Linked DNA regions of Astyanax mexicanus. The protein of the gene in region 2 interacts with the protein of the main gene of each other region in a pairwise test. Links are inferred from orthologs where the notes say so. Each region holds a gene or a part of one and is shown on either strand. Other genes may lie near its edges.

Region 1 (8,776 bases), on a different chromosome or scaffold from region 2:
ACATCATAGAACCACAGTTACATGTGTAACTAGCATTTTTGCCAAGATCCATATACATAAGGTATATATAGCTAGTATTTTTGAGATGATATATTTATTTATGATATAGTTGTATTTATACAAAATCAATTTAGACCTTCATACAGAAAATCATCTCACCTGTGAGTTTGCAGGTTTTAATAGCAGCCTGTACCTGCTCCTTAAATACAGTGACGACTTTAGCGGGAACGATATCCCCCTCCATGATCACACGGGAGTCATGCCACTCCTGAGAGGCGTTGGCGAAGCTCTCCAGCTCCAGCCACTGGTGCAACTTCTCTGGATCTCGCACTGGGGAGAGAAGGCGTGACCCGCTCAGTGTGTAGTACCTCCACTGCCGCGCCTGCCTCTCTTTATAGGCCATCAGGCCACGCACGGGCACAGAGATCAGGAACAGAGTGGGAGTCAGCACCTGCAGGTACAGAAGCAGAGATGCATAGAATCATTCCAAACTCGCATTATCACTAAAGCCAGAGCAGCTGCTCCCGTTCTGCCTTTAATTCACTCTGAGAACTTTCCACTGCTTTCTGTAATAACTACACTAATAACACAGCACTGTACTTTTACTTTCAGTACTCCAGTTCTACATTTTACAATACACTACTTACGCAATACTTAAGTACAAAAATGTTAAATATTTTTAATACTTCCAAAAATACTGTGGGGCTTAACGAACACTTCAACTTATAAGTGACTTTTTCCACAGAGCACTTATAGAGTACTTTTACTCAAGTCTGACTCTCTAGTAATTTATATATGTCTGTACAAAAGTCATGAGCTTGTATATAAGATAAGTACACTCAAAATATTTAATACAGTGCAAAGCATGATTTGCAACAGGCTGTTGAAATCTTAAACATGCAGTATTTAAGCTGTGACAGATTTATAGTGACATAGACAGATAAATATACAGTTATAAGCAAACAAAAAAATGACAGTTTTATCTACAGTGCTGGAGATTTCCTTTCAGAATGTCAGATTGACCGATATGGACAAATTGCAACTAAGTATAAGCATTGAATATATCATTTTTGCAATTTGTATTTAATTATGATAACTTTAATATGTTTTCCTTGATTGGGTTCCTTACAGGTTGAGTTACATGCTCTAAAAAAATAAAATATCAAATAAGCATATAATATACCCACTGGACTTATCAAAACATCAGTATTAGCAGGGCCAGACCCAGTTTTACACAAAAGATACAGTTTTTACCTCACTTCCTGTGTGCTATATGCTAACTGTCCCCAGAAATAATTCAAAATTTCAGAAAATATATAAACGTCCTTTTTAGGAGGTTTCTTACAGTGACCACCGTTACTCAAAGGGTTAAGTAATAAAACATATAATTGTCAATCATTTTTAAAAAATCTGATTAATGATGTCAATATCCTGTAATTATTAGTGATTAAAATAATTTTACTAATAAATAAACCACAAAAACGTTACCATTAATTTGCATAAGTGTAAAGTTTCCAGATTAGTAGCATGCATGTAATTAACATGTAAATGTTGACAGCACTAGTTTTTATAATATTGTAAATGTGGCTCCGCTGGAGCAAGGGTATTATTTCTGTTCCTTTTATTAGTTATAGATCCTAAATTTTTTAAACATATATGATGTAAGAGATTTTATAAGAGATATTGTAAGAGTGATAAACGCTGTCACATCAGAAATACCTTACCTGAATGGCCGGATTTAAGGTACACCTTCCCCGAAGTAACGCAGCCCATTTTGATGCTAAAGCAGGCTGATCCTACAGAGAGAGCAAAAACAAGCTACAGTATATAAATGTACTAGAATTAATAAATCAATGCACAGATAAAGTGATGAGAAAAAGCTTTACCTTAAAACAGTCATTGTGAACTCCAGAGTTGGAGATGGATTGGAAGCGAGCATCTTTAGAGCTGACCTCAGTGGTCAAGTCTTTGATTATTTTCTGCACTTCTTCTACTGATTTGGAGACCTGTCTGTGCCTGAGGTCCACCTGAGAGGAAAACACTATAATAAATAAATCACCACTCTGCTGTATAACAATTACCATAAACATAAACATATCAAATGCTTAGTGAAAAAAAATGACCATTATACTACCGTAAGAACTGGTATATTTGTTACCCTTATTATAAAGTTTTACCAAGCAAAAATAAAGCCTAACTTCTAAGATATCTAGTCAGCTCACAGTATAATATAAAACTGAAATAGACAGTCCTTTTTAGAAAAATACTTTATTCTATCTTCCAAAATTAAAGGAGTGTGATGGAGAATTAGTTGTTTAACTCCATTCACCCCCATTTATTAAGTATTAAACTCGCGGGCGCCCTCTAGCGTGCTACAGTCATTTTCTTTTTAGTAAAAATAAAGATTTGAATCTTTTTGAAAACTGATTCAAACAACTTTAAAAATATATATATTTTAAAGTGCTTTAAACTACTTAAAATGAACCATTTTTACACCTGATTCAAACTATTTTAAAAAGTAATATCCAAAAAAATATTCAAACAACTTTAAAAATATTATAATCTTTTTCAAACCTACTTAAAATGAATAATTTTACAACTGATTTAAACAATTAAAAATAATAATATATTTTTTAAATATTTAAACTACTTTACACATAATATAATCTTTTTGAAAACTGATTCAAACTACTTACAATTAATATTTTTGAAAACTGATTAAAACTTATTTTAAAAGATATATTCAAACTACTTTAAAAAAATTGAATATTTTTAACTACTAAAAATGAATCTTTTTGACAACTGATTTAACAGACTTTTAAAATATAATACATATTTTTCATATTCAAACTACTTTTTTAAAAAAAAATATTTTAACTACTAAAATGTATCTTTTTGAAAAATAATTTAAACTGATTTTAATTCTAACGTTTCAAAAATTGATTCAAACTGTTTGAATAAAGAATTGAACCTTCTTTTTAAAAACTGTTTCAGATATCACTAAGTTATCAGTTAGTGCAGAACCTCAATGTACCTGATTTTGTAAGTAATGTTCCAGATCTTCCTCTGTAAAGTTCGTCATGTTCCAGCTCTGGTATGTCCTGCTCTGTTGTCGGACAAGACCCGAGTGTGACTCTGTGTATTTGTGTCCTGGTCTATGTAACACAGATGGAACTGGCGGAAAAGCACTTCACCAGATTGATCTCAGTAAATTGATTTTTCTAGACGTTAAAATGCTCCCATTGGTCACTAGTTCACGCACACATCCTGCATTGCCCTGGTGAGGCCCTTAAACACATCACCCACTTGTGAGGTCAAAAAAAGCACTTGTTTGGGATGTTTATATATAACTCACAGCTATATATAATATAGCATAAAGTGCTCTGATTATAACAGACTTCAACAGACACCAGTAACCTATTTCTGAATTTCTGAGTGTTGAAGCTACTCAGACTCTTTAGGACCCAGGGGAGCACAGATGTGAACATGACCTGAATATGCATGGATAGACCACACTGACTGTATGGGGCAGACCCTACTCCAGTTCTCTACTCTCACAAATGTTGTGTTGACATCAATCCAGGAGAAAATCCCTATTAACACACATTAGCCCTACGCAGCCAGTAATCTAGCCTGTAATTAAACCATCTGGATATCTATCATTACAGCCAACTCCCACACAATTATGATGAATGTTAGTTCATAAAATCTGGTACTAAATATGAATTTAGTTTCATTGATGTATTATATCTCTTAATATCACACTTACTATTTTTGTGCCATTTATTTAAACTGTAAAATTTAATAAAGATCATAATAAGTTCACTAATGTAACTAATGGACAATTATTGGGTTATCTACCAATTTATGTTATACATACGCAGACAACATTCGCATGTGAGGCATGTTTTCTGGGTAATAATATAGGCTATAGTAATTCTTTTAGTTTAAGGGAATAAATACAGCTCTGCAAAAAAAGAGAACACTTTAAAATTTTGAGTTTCAGTTTTACCAAATTGAAAACCTCTGGAATATTAATCAAGAGAAAGATAGATGATCACAAGCCATCAAACCAAGCTGAACTGCTTGAATTTTTGCACCAGACGTGACATAAAGTTACCCAAAATCAGTGTGTAAGACAGGTGGAGAAGAACATGATGCCAAAATGCATGAAAACTGTGATTAAAAACCAGGGTTATTCCACCAAAAATTGATTTCTGAACTATTAAAACTTTATGTATATGATCTGTTTTTTTGCATTATTTGAGGTCTGAAAGCTCTGCATCTTTTTTATTTCAGCTATTCCTCTTTTTTCGCAAATAAATGCTTTAAATGACAATATTTTTTGGAAATTTGGGAGAAATGTTGTCTGCAGTTTATAGAATAAAACAACAATGTTCATTTTACTCAACCATAAACCTATAAATAGCAAAATCAGAGAAACTGATTCAGAAACTGAAGTGGTCTCTTTATTTTTTCCCGAACTGTATTTTCTGCATGATATGTGGCGCCCTCTGGTGTTTAACTAATATAGCACAGCCAAAGAACCTCTACAAAAGAGAATACCCACTCGAGAATTTGTCACAGACACTAGGGGGCGATCTCGAGTGAGCTTAAAATTAATAGGGTCAGAGGAAACTTTTAAGCAAAGTTGTAGTTTATAAAGCTTTTTATATATTTTATGATAAAAATATATCCATGCTCTCATAACATGAGTTATTCTGCTTTTGGACCGAAGTTAGAAGCCTTTTAAACGAGCTCTGGCTGTTACTTCAGCCTAAGCTTATCAACCAGTCAGCCCACAGTAGCAGTAATGCTAGCGGCTTTGTTGTCCAAAACTCATTTGTTGTCCAAAAATGGAAATACACAGATAAAATTATTTGCTTTTTTAGCAAAATACTTTAATTTACCTTCCAAAATTATAGGAATACCATGGAGTACTAGTTAGAAAAATGTTTTATCAGAGTTTTAGTCGTTTAGCTCCATTCACACCCTTTCATTGAGTACTCACTCGCGGGCGCCCTCTAGCGTTCCAAACGACTTAAAAATAATATTTTTTGATTCACTGATTCAACTTACTTAAAATTAATATTTTTTTTTTTTTGAAAACTGATTCAAATAACTTAAAATGAATCTTTTTGACAAGTGATTTAAATTATTTAAACCTATATTAAAAATATGTTTTCAAACTACTTAAAAAAGATTTAAACCTTTTGTTGTAAATTACTTAAAAAGCTTTAAAACGCTCGAAGCCAATTCATGGTTATGTAGATCTTCTCATTATTTCTGTGTTTCTTTATTTACTTACAAAATAACTGATGTGGTTTTGATTTACACTAGCTAGTTCGTATAAGATTGTTTTACAGCGTCATTGCTGGATTTCGCTTTATCAATGGGGCATATGGAGTGGGCACTCTCTCTATAAACAGACTCTGTCACTGTTTAATATACGTAATAAAAACTACAGTTCCCAGCATGCATTTCACCCGCTCCAACCACAACAAACCACCGTGTCTGTACGGTATCTGAGGACATTTAGATAAGCGGCCGTTTTACAAATGGAAGCGCTTTTAGAATAAACTGAGGTATGTCACCTACTCTTGTCCTTGTGTTTTAAAGCTCAGTTAGCTGAGCTTATAGTGTAGTATAGAGTAGCGACACGCTGCCCGTGTTGTTTAAATGCAGTTCAGTAACGTTAACTAACACAGCTAGGTTAGGTTAGTTAGCTCTCTGTTAGCTAGGTTAAGAAAGCTACACCTGACTGACTGGTAAAATACTGCAAATCTCTGCTGGACTGGACAGTGTTTTAGGATTTATGAACAGCTCTGACTGTAATAAATAAAACTGAGTTACTGGAATCTGGGTCAGAGGACTACTGACTTGTTCTGATGTGAGAGTAACAGGTTTGACTGTGTCTAATAATAATCAAGTTGCTGCAGGTTAATCTACCACCTGCATGCCTGGCTCCGTTTATACGTATTCTGACAGAAGGTTTCAATTAAACGAATTCCCATTTCTACACAGATGTCTTACTTACACTTTAAAATAGTATAACGCTATATGGTAATCAAACCTCATCATCATCATATTTTTTTTTTCAAAAATAACGTACATTTTGTCAGATTATGTGGAATCTTTGCTAATTTTAAAGGTGATTTTGATTTAGTTTTAGTCTTAGTCTTTTAAATAAAACGCATTTTAGTTTTAGTGTAAAATTAGTTTTAGTCACAATTTTGTCATTTATATATTATTCGTTCTTTTTTTTTTAAGTTTTAGTCGTTTTTTTAGGTTTTAGTCGACAACTTCAACATTTTATTCTTGTTGGTTAACTAACAGAGCTATAAAGCTAACCTAATAGAGCAAGTTAGTTAGGTTAGCTAACAGAGCTAGCTAGCTAACCTAACAGAGGTAGCTAGCTAGTTAGCTAATCAAACAGAGCTAGCTAGCTAACCTAACAGCGCTAACTAGCTAGTTGGCTAACTAACAAAGATATCTAGCTAACCTAACAGAGCTAGCTAACTAGTTAGTTACAGCGATAGCTAGCTAACCTAACTGAGGTAGCTAGCTAGTTAGCTAACTTACAGAGCTAGGTTAGCTAACCCTGGCTCTCAAAGGGAATGGCAAGTGACATGATGATTGGTTTATTTCACATTATGCCTCAAACTCGTCCATGATTAATTAAGAGTATTAGTATATGCTTTTTAAACATTTAAATTGCACAAGTTGTACTTTTCCTGTCATTCTGATAGCAAAGACACATTGACACCCTAAATCAATTGCGCCGTACACGGTTGACGGCTGGCCCAAAGAACGTTACAATAGGGACCTTGGTAACTTCAGAGGAATCAGTTGTCCGTTTGCTTTGTGTATAAGATTGGATGCCCTGGTTTAGTACTTTTTTTCTAATCATGTGCTGTTATAAATTCTATACTGCACAAGTGCTTTTTTATTACACTTTTAATTATGTACTATTATTTCCTTTCTTATAGAATCTCCTTTGGTGTAAAGCACAATGAGCTGCTCTGTGTTGCTCCGCCTGCACCCTGGGGACCTCCATAAAGTCCTGCTGCCCATCTACAATGCTGCGACCGTACGCCTGCTTTGCTCTGCCTCTCGACTTAGCCGCAACCTGAGAGAGAGCTACCGCATCCTGCAGCTGCCTGAGGATGGAGACAGCAGCCCTGAAGAAGTAAAGGAGGCCTATATGCGTATGGCCAAGCTCTATCATCCAGACTCTGGAACCCCAACAGCAGATGCTGCATTGTTCTGCCACATAGAGGAAGCTTACAGGGCTGTAGTGGCCCACCTGGCCCGGCGGAGGTCTGCGTCATCAAATGCTCAGATGGATGAGGATGAGGAAGACAAGACTAAAAACCAGGCCCCTCAGCACAGGCAGTACCTCAGCTTTGAAGGCGTGGGCTCTGGAACACCCAGCCAGCGTGAGCGGCAGTATCGGCAGTTTAGGATGGACAGGGCCACAGACCAGGTCTTGGAATATCGGCGTAAACGCATGGAGCAGGCAGCAGCAGAGGAGGGTGCCATGGTGGTTAGGGATGCACGCATGCGTAGCAAGCAGATCAAGATCACGCAGGCTGTGGAGCGTCTGGTGGAGGACCTCATCCAGGAGTCCATGGCCCGGGGTGACTTCCGCAACCTGAGTGGCGCTGGTAAGCCACTCAGCAAGTTTGACCACAACCCATTCTCTGACCCCATGACACACAACCTGAACAGGATCCTTATTGACAACGGTTACCAACCTGAATGGATAGTGGCCCAGAAGGAGATCAGAGAGACCATTAAGAAGCTGCGGGACAGACTACAGGAGGTCCGGTCCCGGCTTGGCAGCCCCATGAGGCACTCTGAACAGCTGCAGTGGAAAGAGCACTGTGCAGATTTCACAGATGATCTGAAGAAGCTCAACAAAAAAGTGGACACGTTCAACCTGATTGTGCCTCTAATGAGTCTGCAGATGGTTCATTTTAATACAAACAGGGAGGTAGAAAATGTGATGAAAGCTGACCAGGAATATAGGAAGAAGATGGAGCAGGAGAGGAAGCACATGAAGGACAGTGAAGAAGCAGACACATCAAAGCAGAACTCTAGACAAGGACTCATTATGTGGATGCAGAGTCTACTCAAATAAAAATATCCCAGAGTTTTATATCTGTAGTACACAATACTGTCTTGAACTGAAGTCTAAAATAAGCGCACAACTCACAGCTCTTTAATAGTCTTTTTCATTTATTATTACAGTTAATGTGATATACAGAGGATCAGAAAAGGCGGTAACATGAATATCAGCTCATAAATATCACTGTTATGTAACACAATTATGTAAATAAAAATGATGCTTATTTAAAATCAGTAGAGAGTTAAAAAAGGATCAGATTATTTTTTTCCACCCAGAGGCAAAGACTATAAATATAATCCTTTTAAATTCCAGAATGAGATGTATGAATAGTTTCTGGATAAATTAAGGTACAGTTCAGTGAGGCTGACAAGAAACAATACTATAATGCAGTACATATAAGCTTGTATCTCCAAACAGCAACTTTTCGGAAAAAGTTAAAAAATCCAAATGGAGATACATTATTTTTAACACATGTAATATATTTAACATTTAATATATGCAATGTCCAATCACATTTGAACACTTTAGTTCCACTTGCATTCTTTAAACTGACATTTTCCTGCTTTCTTATTTGATTTTTTTTGTCCATACAGCAACAAAAAGCTTACATGCGCATGCAAGCCCTGGTTTGAGCAGCAGTAGCAG
Region 2 (9,081 bases):
AGTCTATATCTGCTTTCATTTTAGTCTTTTTTTATCTGGCCAACTCATTTAAAACCATTCTGTAGTAATGTTATGAATGTACTGAAGCCCCACTCAAGAAATACAGTGATGTTTGAGTGGCAGCTGTGATGAAAGACAAGGTTAAACAACTGAGTGCGTCAACCACAATCAAGACTGACCTGCATGACCCAACATGTTGGAAATTTTATCATTAAAACCATTTTTCAACTTCTTACTTGGACATTTAGGCTATGTGTTTCTCTGTGCTGTGGCTAGGCTCCACCCCTTACCTGAGACAGAAGTGACTCAAATCTGATTTTTTGCTCAATGTGGCTCAGATATGATTTTTTTTTTTATGGCTGTGTGAACATGCCAAATCCGTTTTAGCCAAAGCCACTTTGCTCAAATCCAATTTTTGGCTCAGATCAGATTTGGCCATCGTGACAGTTTACAGTCATAAATGTAAGTGACCTGTATCTGTGTGTAATGTGGACGAATCTGTCCCTGAAACGCCTCACATGCGCACATTAATAAGTGTATAAACATCTCCTTCCTCACCAACAACAAAAAAAAACATATTTGAGAGACGGCTTGAGCTTTATAAAGGTGAAATGGATGTGTTAGCAGCTCATATGTGGACCTTTTTTTTATCTTTTACATGAGTGGAGAGAAAACAGCTGATCTGAAGTACATGTTCAGGTTGAGGAGGAGAAAAAAAGGGCAGGCAGTTTGCTTTTGCTGTTTTTACAGCTTTAGCTGCACAGCTGCAGCAAGAGATGTGTGGGTATGAGAGAGAGAGAAGCAGTCACAGAGGAAAGGTGAGAAGACAGACGTAATTGAAGGTATTAAATTTATAAAAAAAAAAGAAAAAGAAAAACTGAAAGCAAACACGGGTAGTTAAATGCGGGGAAAATGGGTAGTTAAATGAGGTGGAAAGTAATGAATTACATTTACTCACATTACTGTAATTTAAGTAGTTTTTAAAATAGGTAATTTTACTTTTACATTTTGACACAAGCAATTTACTTCACTACATTGGAAAACTCCCAATTACTGAGTAAAAAATAAAATGCTGGGAAAAAAATGACTGAATGTCTGAATAAAAAAAAATAATTGTTGTCCATGGCAGCGCAGCTGAACTTTTTCCAGCAGTGTTTATTACGGTTAGCGGGAGAGAAGCTATTTAAATCAGCTGGGGGAAGCATTGTTTTTAATGATAATTCCTTTTTAATGATAATGATAATTTGTTTTAATGATAAGTTTTTATTGGGAACATTAAACAATCGTCTTAAATGTTAAACAAACAACAGATAACAGTTAAAGCATAGCAATGGCAAGTTAAAAAATAATAATGAACTGTAAAACTATAAAAATACGGTTTATAGTCACATATGACCATACTTTTTACCTTTTTAACAGTAAAGAAAAAAATAATAGATCATAGAAACCTATGCCACTTGTTCTTAAAAATGTTTTATGGGGTGGTCTGAACAAACACTGCCTGAAAGGTCTAAATTATTATTTGGAATAATAATTCATTAAAAATATTTAATTTATGATTTGTACTTTTTTACATCAAATAATTAAAAGTAACTATGTAACTTTTACTCAACGTAAATTTTAAATTGAGTACTTTTTTACTTTTACTCAAGTAGATTTTTAGATGGGTACTTTTACTTGAGTAGAATTTTAGCAAAGTAAAGGTACTTTTACTTAACTACAAATTTTCAGTACTTTTTCCACCTCTGGTTAAATGTAAAAACACAATTAAACACAAGTAAACTAAACTACAAAAACAAGGAAAACCTAACCAAGATAACTAGATAAGGAAAACCACTAAGAAGACTTAACAGATTAAAATTAACTAAACAAAGAGAGAAGCAGGACAGGAACTGAAAAATACAAGACACACAAGGCTAAAGGTGTGACAGACGCATGTAGTGCATGCGTTAATGCAAAAAGACGTATGAATTCTGTTTTGACTGTTCACATTCATGTCACATGTCCATGGATCGAATGCGTATCTGATTTAGGAACACATATGAAAGTGGCTCTAATCTGATTTGAAAAAATCGGATCTGGCACGTTCACACAGCCATGAAAAAATCAGATCTGAGCCACAAAAAAACAGATTTGAGTCACTTCAGCCTGGTAATGTGAATGTAGCCTATATCAAATGCCTGTTCCTGTTTTTAGTCTGGTTTTATTGGCAATACTTCGCTTTAGGATCTAGACAAGCTCAAGCATAAATCAATGTGTATCAGCAGTGGATGCAACTTAAAGTAGCTAAAGTGGCTAATCATTGACTGAGACATTTCACAGAAGTGAATGCCGCCCACTTTAGCATTAGCACACAGCTATTAAAAGTTTGCTGGTTGGGATGATGCGCAATGCGCGCCCTTCATTTTCACCCTCACACGCTTTTCATGCAAATGTCAATTATACTTTGAGGCCATTTAACACAAGAGCTGGAGGAGAGGTGTCATAAATTTCACGTCCTGTACTCAGCCCCTCTCCATCCATTCACCGGTTCCCCTCACTCGGTTCCCCCGCGCCTCTTTGTCCCTCACTCTCTCTCTCTTTCTCTCCGTCTCTCCACCCCTCTCTCATTACGATCCCTATAAAGCAACTCAAGCCGTTTAACTCCCATTTCCCGTCCTCGCCTCTCTCCTATTACCGCTCCGTTCGCTGCTCGACTCGTGCGAACGCCATTAGCGGCTCAGGGCCCGAAACAGGTGCTGCCGCGCTGATAGACGTTCCTCATTACGGGCTGCGTCCGGAACCAGCGGAGCGGCTATCTGAGATATTTCGGAGACGTTATGAGATGTGGAAGTAGTAAAGTAGAACTCTGGAGGATCTGCCTGACTTGCCCAAGCTGCTCTTAACCCTTGTGGGCCTTGTTCACTTGATTCTGAAAAATTAAACGTGGTTCTGCTGCCCCCTTCTGGCAGTAAATGTAAGTGTAAGGTGCTGTTGCATCATGGATGCATCTCAATTGGTACTATAAGGTAAATTGCAAAATTAGTCTACAGAGGGCACAAAACCAAACCCAGCTGGCACACAACCGACCTTCAACGTTAAAATGTGCTTGAAATATGACTAAAGTAATGTATGTTGTTGTTTTAACGTTAAAACAAAGTTGAATCAAATATTTAATGTTAAATGGTTGTGCTAACGTTTAAAAGTTTACCGTTGAATCAACAAAATGTCCTCAACCTTCTGCCTTTTAATCAGCATTTTACATTACATCACCATATAATTTCTAAAAACGGTTGGACTGAAAAAGTGTTTTACTTCTTTTTGCAGTAACTGCTTTTTAAATTTAACATCATGTTCATGTTCTAATAGTTTTACTGTTTTAGTGTTTTTGAGAACAGATGTTGAATCAGATTGGTAGTGGACAGTAACATTCTTTATATACTCATGATGTAAGTTTATTGTTAACACTTTGTTAACCATAGGATTTTCTAGTTTAAGTAAGCTATGGTTTATTAAAGGTTGAACGTATGACGTTGAAACAATGTTGCTATATCATAACGTTGATTCAATCATAACTTCAGCGTTGATTAACATTGATACAACGTTTATTCAACGTTGAAATGCCAGCTGGGAACTGAACAGGTTTAGTCTTAACTAAATCTTAGTGGACAGTGTTGGGAGGTGAATTCATACTCCCAACATCGTACCAACCCAAACGAGAAAGAAGTTTATAGTTTAAAGTTTTATAAAAGATGTTTAAGTGATCAGTGCAAAAAAAAAAACTACTTAGAATTCCCTAAAATAATAGTTAAACCCCATATATTTCCCTTTTCAATTTGACATCAGATTATATAAGATATATATAGTTTTTACAGTGTTCTGAGTTGATTTTCAAGAAGACTAACATACATTACAAAGTGGAAGTCCGTAGGCCTCAATTATAAAGGGTGCGTACATATAAAAACAAGCCTGAAATGTGCGTGCGCAACATCTTACATAACAACTGTGATTTATAAAGAAATATTTGGCGTATATTTAAGCAAGGTTTGAGGCCGACCATATTCCATAAAAAATTGCGGAGAGAGCGGCAATTAGTGACATCATATGGTAAAGCACGGAATTGCAGGTAAATGCGTAAACCTTCCTCACGCATATTAATACGTACTGCATGTATCAAAATTAAAAACGTAAGATTAAAGAAGTTTAAATATAATAAAATATAAATATACTTGTTCAAATATGTTTTTGTCTGCATGTATAAAGTTTCAATGCTTGCGATATCTTATTCGCCATTATTTTTAATGCTAACTTGTAAATGTCACTCGTAAATAATTTCTATTTTATTTCTATTATCTGGTTTGTTTTGTTTCACAATTTAAAAAATCGGAAGGTGCTACATACAAACATTAGTATTGTATTTATTTTTGTAGTTATTATTATTATTATTGTTTTTATGATTGTAAATATTTTTGTAAATATTATTATTATTAGTAGTAGTATTATTTTATTATTATTAATGTTGTCGATTTGTAGAATCATAAAAGATTTTTTTGTGAATGATGATAATGAGTCGATTTAGGTTTCCAGTAGTCATTCTTATTGAACTGTGTGCTGAGTTGGGCACAGATTTTTAGAGACTAGTGTTACTCTGTAACAGTTCAGCTTGTGGAGCTACAGTATCACCTGCTGCAGACACATGTCGGCTAAAACCACTAAACAGCACATTCTTCCTCGCCTCGACCTCCAAAACAAGGATTTCTACTTCACAGTCTCCTAAATGTAACTTACTTGCGGTGCATTTCTCCGCTATCCCTCTCAGGATGAATGTGGAATCCCATATATAATATTAATTTAATGATTTGCGTGGTAAATTTGGGCGGTACGGAAGCGGAACACAAGGCTGGATAATTTGCGCATATTTTCAAGCAGGTTGTGATTTATAAAGCGGAAACTGCATTCAGGTGTGCCTACACACGCTGTTTTAAATCTGTTTTTGCGCCCATTTTCACTCCAGAAACTAAGCAGAGATATGTAGGTCAGGTTCCGGGGATGTTTGAGGCACGATACCACCGTACCTATTTACATAAAGACAGTGAGTGGTAAGGTTCCAAAGTGACAAAAAAAAAAGAAACCTGCCTCATTAAAGCGTCTCCTTCAGCACAAACTAACACCACAAAACCTGATTAACAAACATACAATACAATTCCTTACTTATTCGCCAAATAAAAAAGCACGGGCACCCCAAAGCATCATGGGAGCACTCCAATGTCACAATATTTGTCACTGTGTGGGACAGTGTTTGTGTTTTGTGTGTACCTTTTAATATATAAAAAAGTAAAAAGAATAGCAGTCTACAACACCAAACTGAAAATGTTTAGTCTTAAATTGTAGTAAACAAGGTTGGGAGATCGAGTCTCAATCCAACCATCCCAAACGAATTATTAAAATCTCGAATTAATATTTTTTTTCAAATGAAGTAACTGCCCCAAATTATTTTAGTTTTTATTTTATTTATTTATTCATTTTTAACATGTTTGATGAATGTGATTGTCAAGAAAAGTGTGATCCTCTCTCCTCCGGAACAGCAGGGGGCGGTAGAGCAGTAGATCAGTAGCGCCGCGCTGCGTGGGTAAATGAGCTGAGTTAAAATGGCAGCCTGGCTCGGAGTGGATTATAAACACATCGATTTGATTGATTGTAACTCATTTTCTGATCAAACTAACATGTACTGGGGTGTGTTTCGGACGCTGGGTGGTCCTAAGATGTTTATGTGTGATTCGCAGGTTGAGCTGAGGGTCGTGGCGGTGGTGAAGTGGAGAGTTTGGAGAGAGGAGTTCGGCTAAACGGTGAGAGAATCTGCTGCATTTTAACACAGCAACTCCTCCTGAGTTAGCTTTAGTTATTACTTCATGTTTACTTTTATATACAGATTAAATTTCCTTCTATTAAAGCTTAAACCACTATACTAACATTCTCTAAATAAAGCCAGTTTATATCTGTAACACAGGCAGACAGCCGACCCTGCAAAAAAAAGTGTAACCAAAATACAACCCCCATTTATAACCCATATAGCAAGATAACCTAGCTAAATATGTAAATAACAAAATATAGCACTTATAGGTTACCTAGCAAAGTACTTCAGTTAAAATAGAGACACCCAAGATAAAATATTACTACAGGTAAAGGTAGGTTCTCCCTGTAGATCTCCGCTTGTTTTATAATACTAATAATGTTTGCCTTTAGTTTTTTAATTAGAATTTTATTTTTGCAGAATAAAAAAGAAAACACAAAATGCAAATATAACATACAGTGCAGGTAGAGGCAAAAAAACATGTTAAAGGCTTAAATAAACCCTCTGCCTTAGTAATATATAAAAGAAAATAACAAAGATAAACCTTTAAAAAAACTATCAAATTCCAGATAACACAAAAAACAAAAACTGTGAATGTGTATCCATGCAAGAAAAAATATTAAGCATAATTTATCAAATTATCTTTTTGACGTCTTTTATAATGTTTGAGATCATATGTTGAGATCAAAATGTTAATGTTTGAATGATGATGTTTGTATACAGCTTTTTTGATCGAATGTTTGCTATTTATCACACATTAAAACAGATTTTCTAATCAATGTTTTTCCTCCCACTTAGAGTAGACTAAAAACAAGGAACACATAAAGAAACACAATATGCTTTGAAATAAAAATGCGTCTAAAGAAATTGCTTAAGAAAAGTATACATGGGGAGAACTGTTTGGCCTTATATACCATAAGATAACTTTTTTTGAAAACTCAATATATTACAAATATGTTTGTTTTGTACCTAGTAGGGCTGGGTGATATGAAAAAAAAAATCTACAATATGTCTCTATATTTATTCTACCCCATAAGGTAGTTTCAAAAAGACACTTTTGAGACAAATCTGAATGTTCCAGAATTTATACCGCCACTTTTATTATTACATTACATTTGGCAGACGCTTTTGTCCAAAGCGACTTACAATAGTCAAGTACAATGTAAAATACCATGTAAAATACCAATGTAAATACCATATCCTGTATATTTTAATAGCCTAGTTTTTCTAGGAGAATCTTTTCATCAATATCTGAAAGGCAATTACAGTAGTTAATTATAAACATATCGATATGAACAAAATTGTCTCATCTTATGTCTTGTATGAAAATATATTGATATTTCTTGAAATCTTGATATCGCTCAGCCCTACTATGCCAGACATTTCTTTTCCCTGAAATTTGATTTAAACAAAGAAAATATTTCATTGCTGAAATATGCAGACTTGTATAAAGTACTAGAGACTCAGACTTGAGAAAAAAGTCAAGTGCTCCATCAAAAAAAAATACTTTAGTAGCACCACGCCTAAGTGAAAGGACTGAAATATTCAACAAGTCATAAACTTAAGTATTGTGAGTAGTTAATTATAAAATATACTACTAAAGTACAAAAGTATTAAAATGTTGTAATATGTAGTTATAACCGAGACAGTGGAGATTTATCACTTCAAATTCGTTACCTCACATCTCTGGTTAACAGTATCATAATATATTGCAGTATATTGAATCATAACCCCTGTATTGTGATATATCTCTAAGTTTTTCCAGTATACAGCCTTACTTGTGAGTCTGAATACTCTGTTCACTGTTTGTTAGAGAGCAGAGAGACTGCGGGATGGCCAGTGATGCTGAGGAGATCTGCACCTCAGATCCGGTGGATCAGGAGATGCAGGAGAGTTCCAAGTCCACTGAGGAGAGTGTAGAGGCAGAGAAAACTAATGGTGGTCATATTGAGTCCTTGGCCCTGAATGAAGAAGAAAAAGAAGAAGAGAAAGAAAAAGAAGGAGAAGAATCTGTTCATGAGTCAGTTTGTCCACAAACAGCAGAACCAGTGTCTGATATATCCTGCCAGCAGGATGATGAGTCTGGATGTGAGGTTGCTGTTCTGCAAAAAGAAGTGGAGAGGCTGCAGAGGGAGCTAAAGGAATGTCAAAGTGAACTGCAGAAAGTGCAGAAGCAGCTCAGCCATAGCGTGAGACTCCAGAAAAGCACAGAGAGCTACAACCAGGACCTGAGACAGCAGGTAACACCCTTACAGCTCTGTTTATAGCTATCTTGGGTAAATAACTTTAGGTCTAAATTGTATCTCTGGTTGATTATGCATTTTACCGAGACCTTAAATATACACTAGGGAAGCACTGTTTGACAAGGCAGCACAACTTGGCAGAACACTGGTCAAGGCAGGTGCTGTTCAGATTTTATGATATAAAGTGGAAAAAACACAATGGAATGAGAACTTTAAATCGGTGGTTAGGTTCATTTTGTAATATGACTGCTTCAGCTTATCATATTACTTCACGTTAATAAAATAAAATAAGGTGCCTTATGAAACCACATTCATACCACATTGATAGACGAAAGAAGGATGCTGTAGTAATAAGCCATAATGAGCTCATCCCCCTGGTATGGTTGTAGCTTAAAAAGGTGATTTAATATAAGTTGACTCTCTGTTCTGTGTGTTGTAGGTTGAGAAGCTGAGTGTGGAGCTTCACGAACGGAAGAAGAAGGAGAAGAACCGAGTTGAAGCTGAGACTCAGACTGAGGAATACACCTGGACAGAAACAGGTTATTCAATACTGCCTTTACCATTACTCCTCTCTAATATACACACACTATTCATTCATTTATTCATTTGTTCTTTCAACAGTAAGAATATATTATAAAATATTGCTTAATAATGATTAATATTATTAAACATTTTGTGCATTAAATAAAATGCTGAAAGGCATAGCATAAACATATTATGTAAAATAATACAGTATAATATAAAAACACAAATACTAATTTGTCATTTTCTACAATAAAATAGGACAAATACTAGCTGAAATATAAAGTAGAAATAAATGTGTGTGTAACAGATTTTTAACAGTGCTTTTTTCTAGTGCACGAAAACCAAGCTGTTTAGATCTCTACTATTGTTTTCGAGTTTCAATTAGTCTGAGCTCTTAAAACATTATTTTTCCTAAATGAATTTTAATGTGTTTTTTTTTTTTTTGCATTATTTTGGGGCTTAAAGCACTGTTCTGTTCTGTTA

Evidence for each region.
Region 1: the proteins of aggf1 (region 2) and mab21l3 interact in binary tests that used the Homo sapiens proteins (3 or more experiments, as listed by UniProt). The two-hybrid records come from large-scale screens. The link is inferred for Astyanax mexicanus from reciprocal best matches to the Homo sapiens genes AGGF1 and MAB21L3.

The regions. Positions count from the first base shown.
Region 1 is NC_064418.1:7,060,131-7,068,906, reverse strand, and holds the start of mab21l3 (protein mab-21-like 3), read right to left. Parts: upstream 3,456-8,776; 5' UTR 3,083-3,455; coding exon 3,035-3,082; intron 2,028-3,034; coding exon 1,887-2,027; intron 1,797-1,886; coding exon 1,725-1,796; intron 452-1,724; coding exon 160-451; intron 1-159. Other genes in the region: dnajc28 (dnaJ homolog subfamily C member 28), read left to right, coding at 7,013-8,143.
Region 2 is NC_064424.1:23,657,246-23,666,326, forward strand, and holds the start of aggf1 (angiogenic factor with G patch and FHA domains 1), read left to right. Parts: upstream 1-5,587; 5' UTR 5,588-5,676; intron 5,677-5,762; 5' UTR 5,763-5,825; intron 5,826-7,643; 5' UTR 7,644-7,662; coding exon 7,663-8,070; intron 8,071-8,512; coding exon 8,513-8,612; intron 8,613-9,081. UniProt on the Homo sapiens protein: Promotes angiogenesis and the proliferation of endothelial cells. Able to bind to endothelial cells and promote cell proliferation, suggesting that it may act in an autocrine fashion.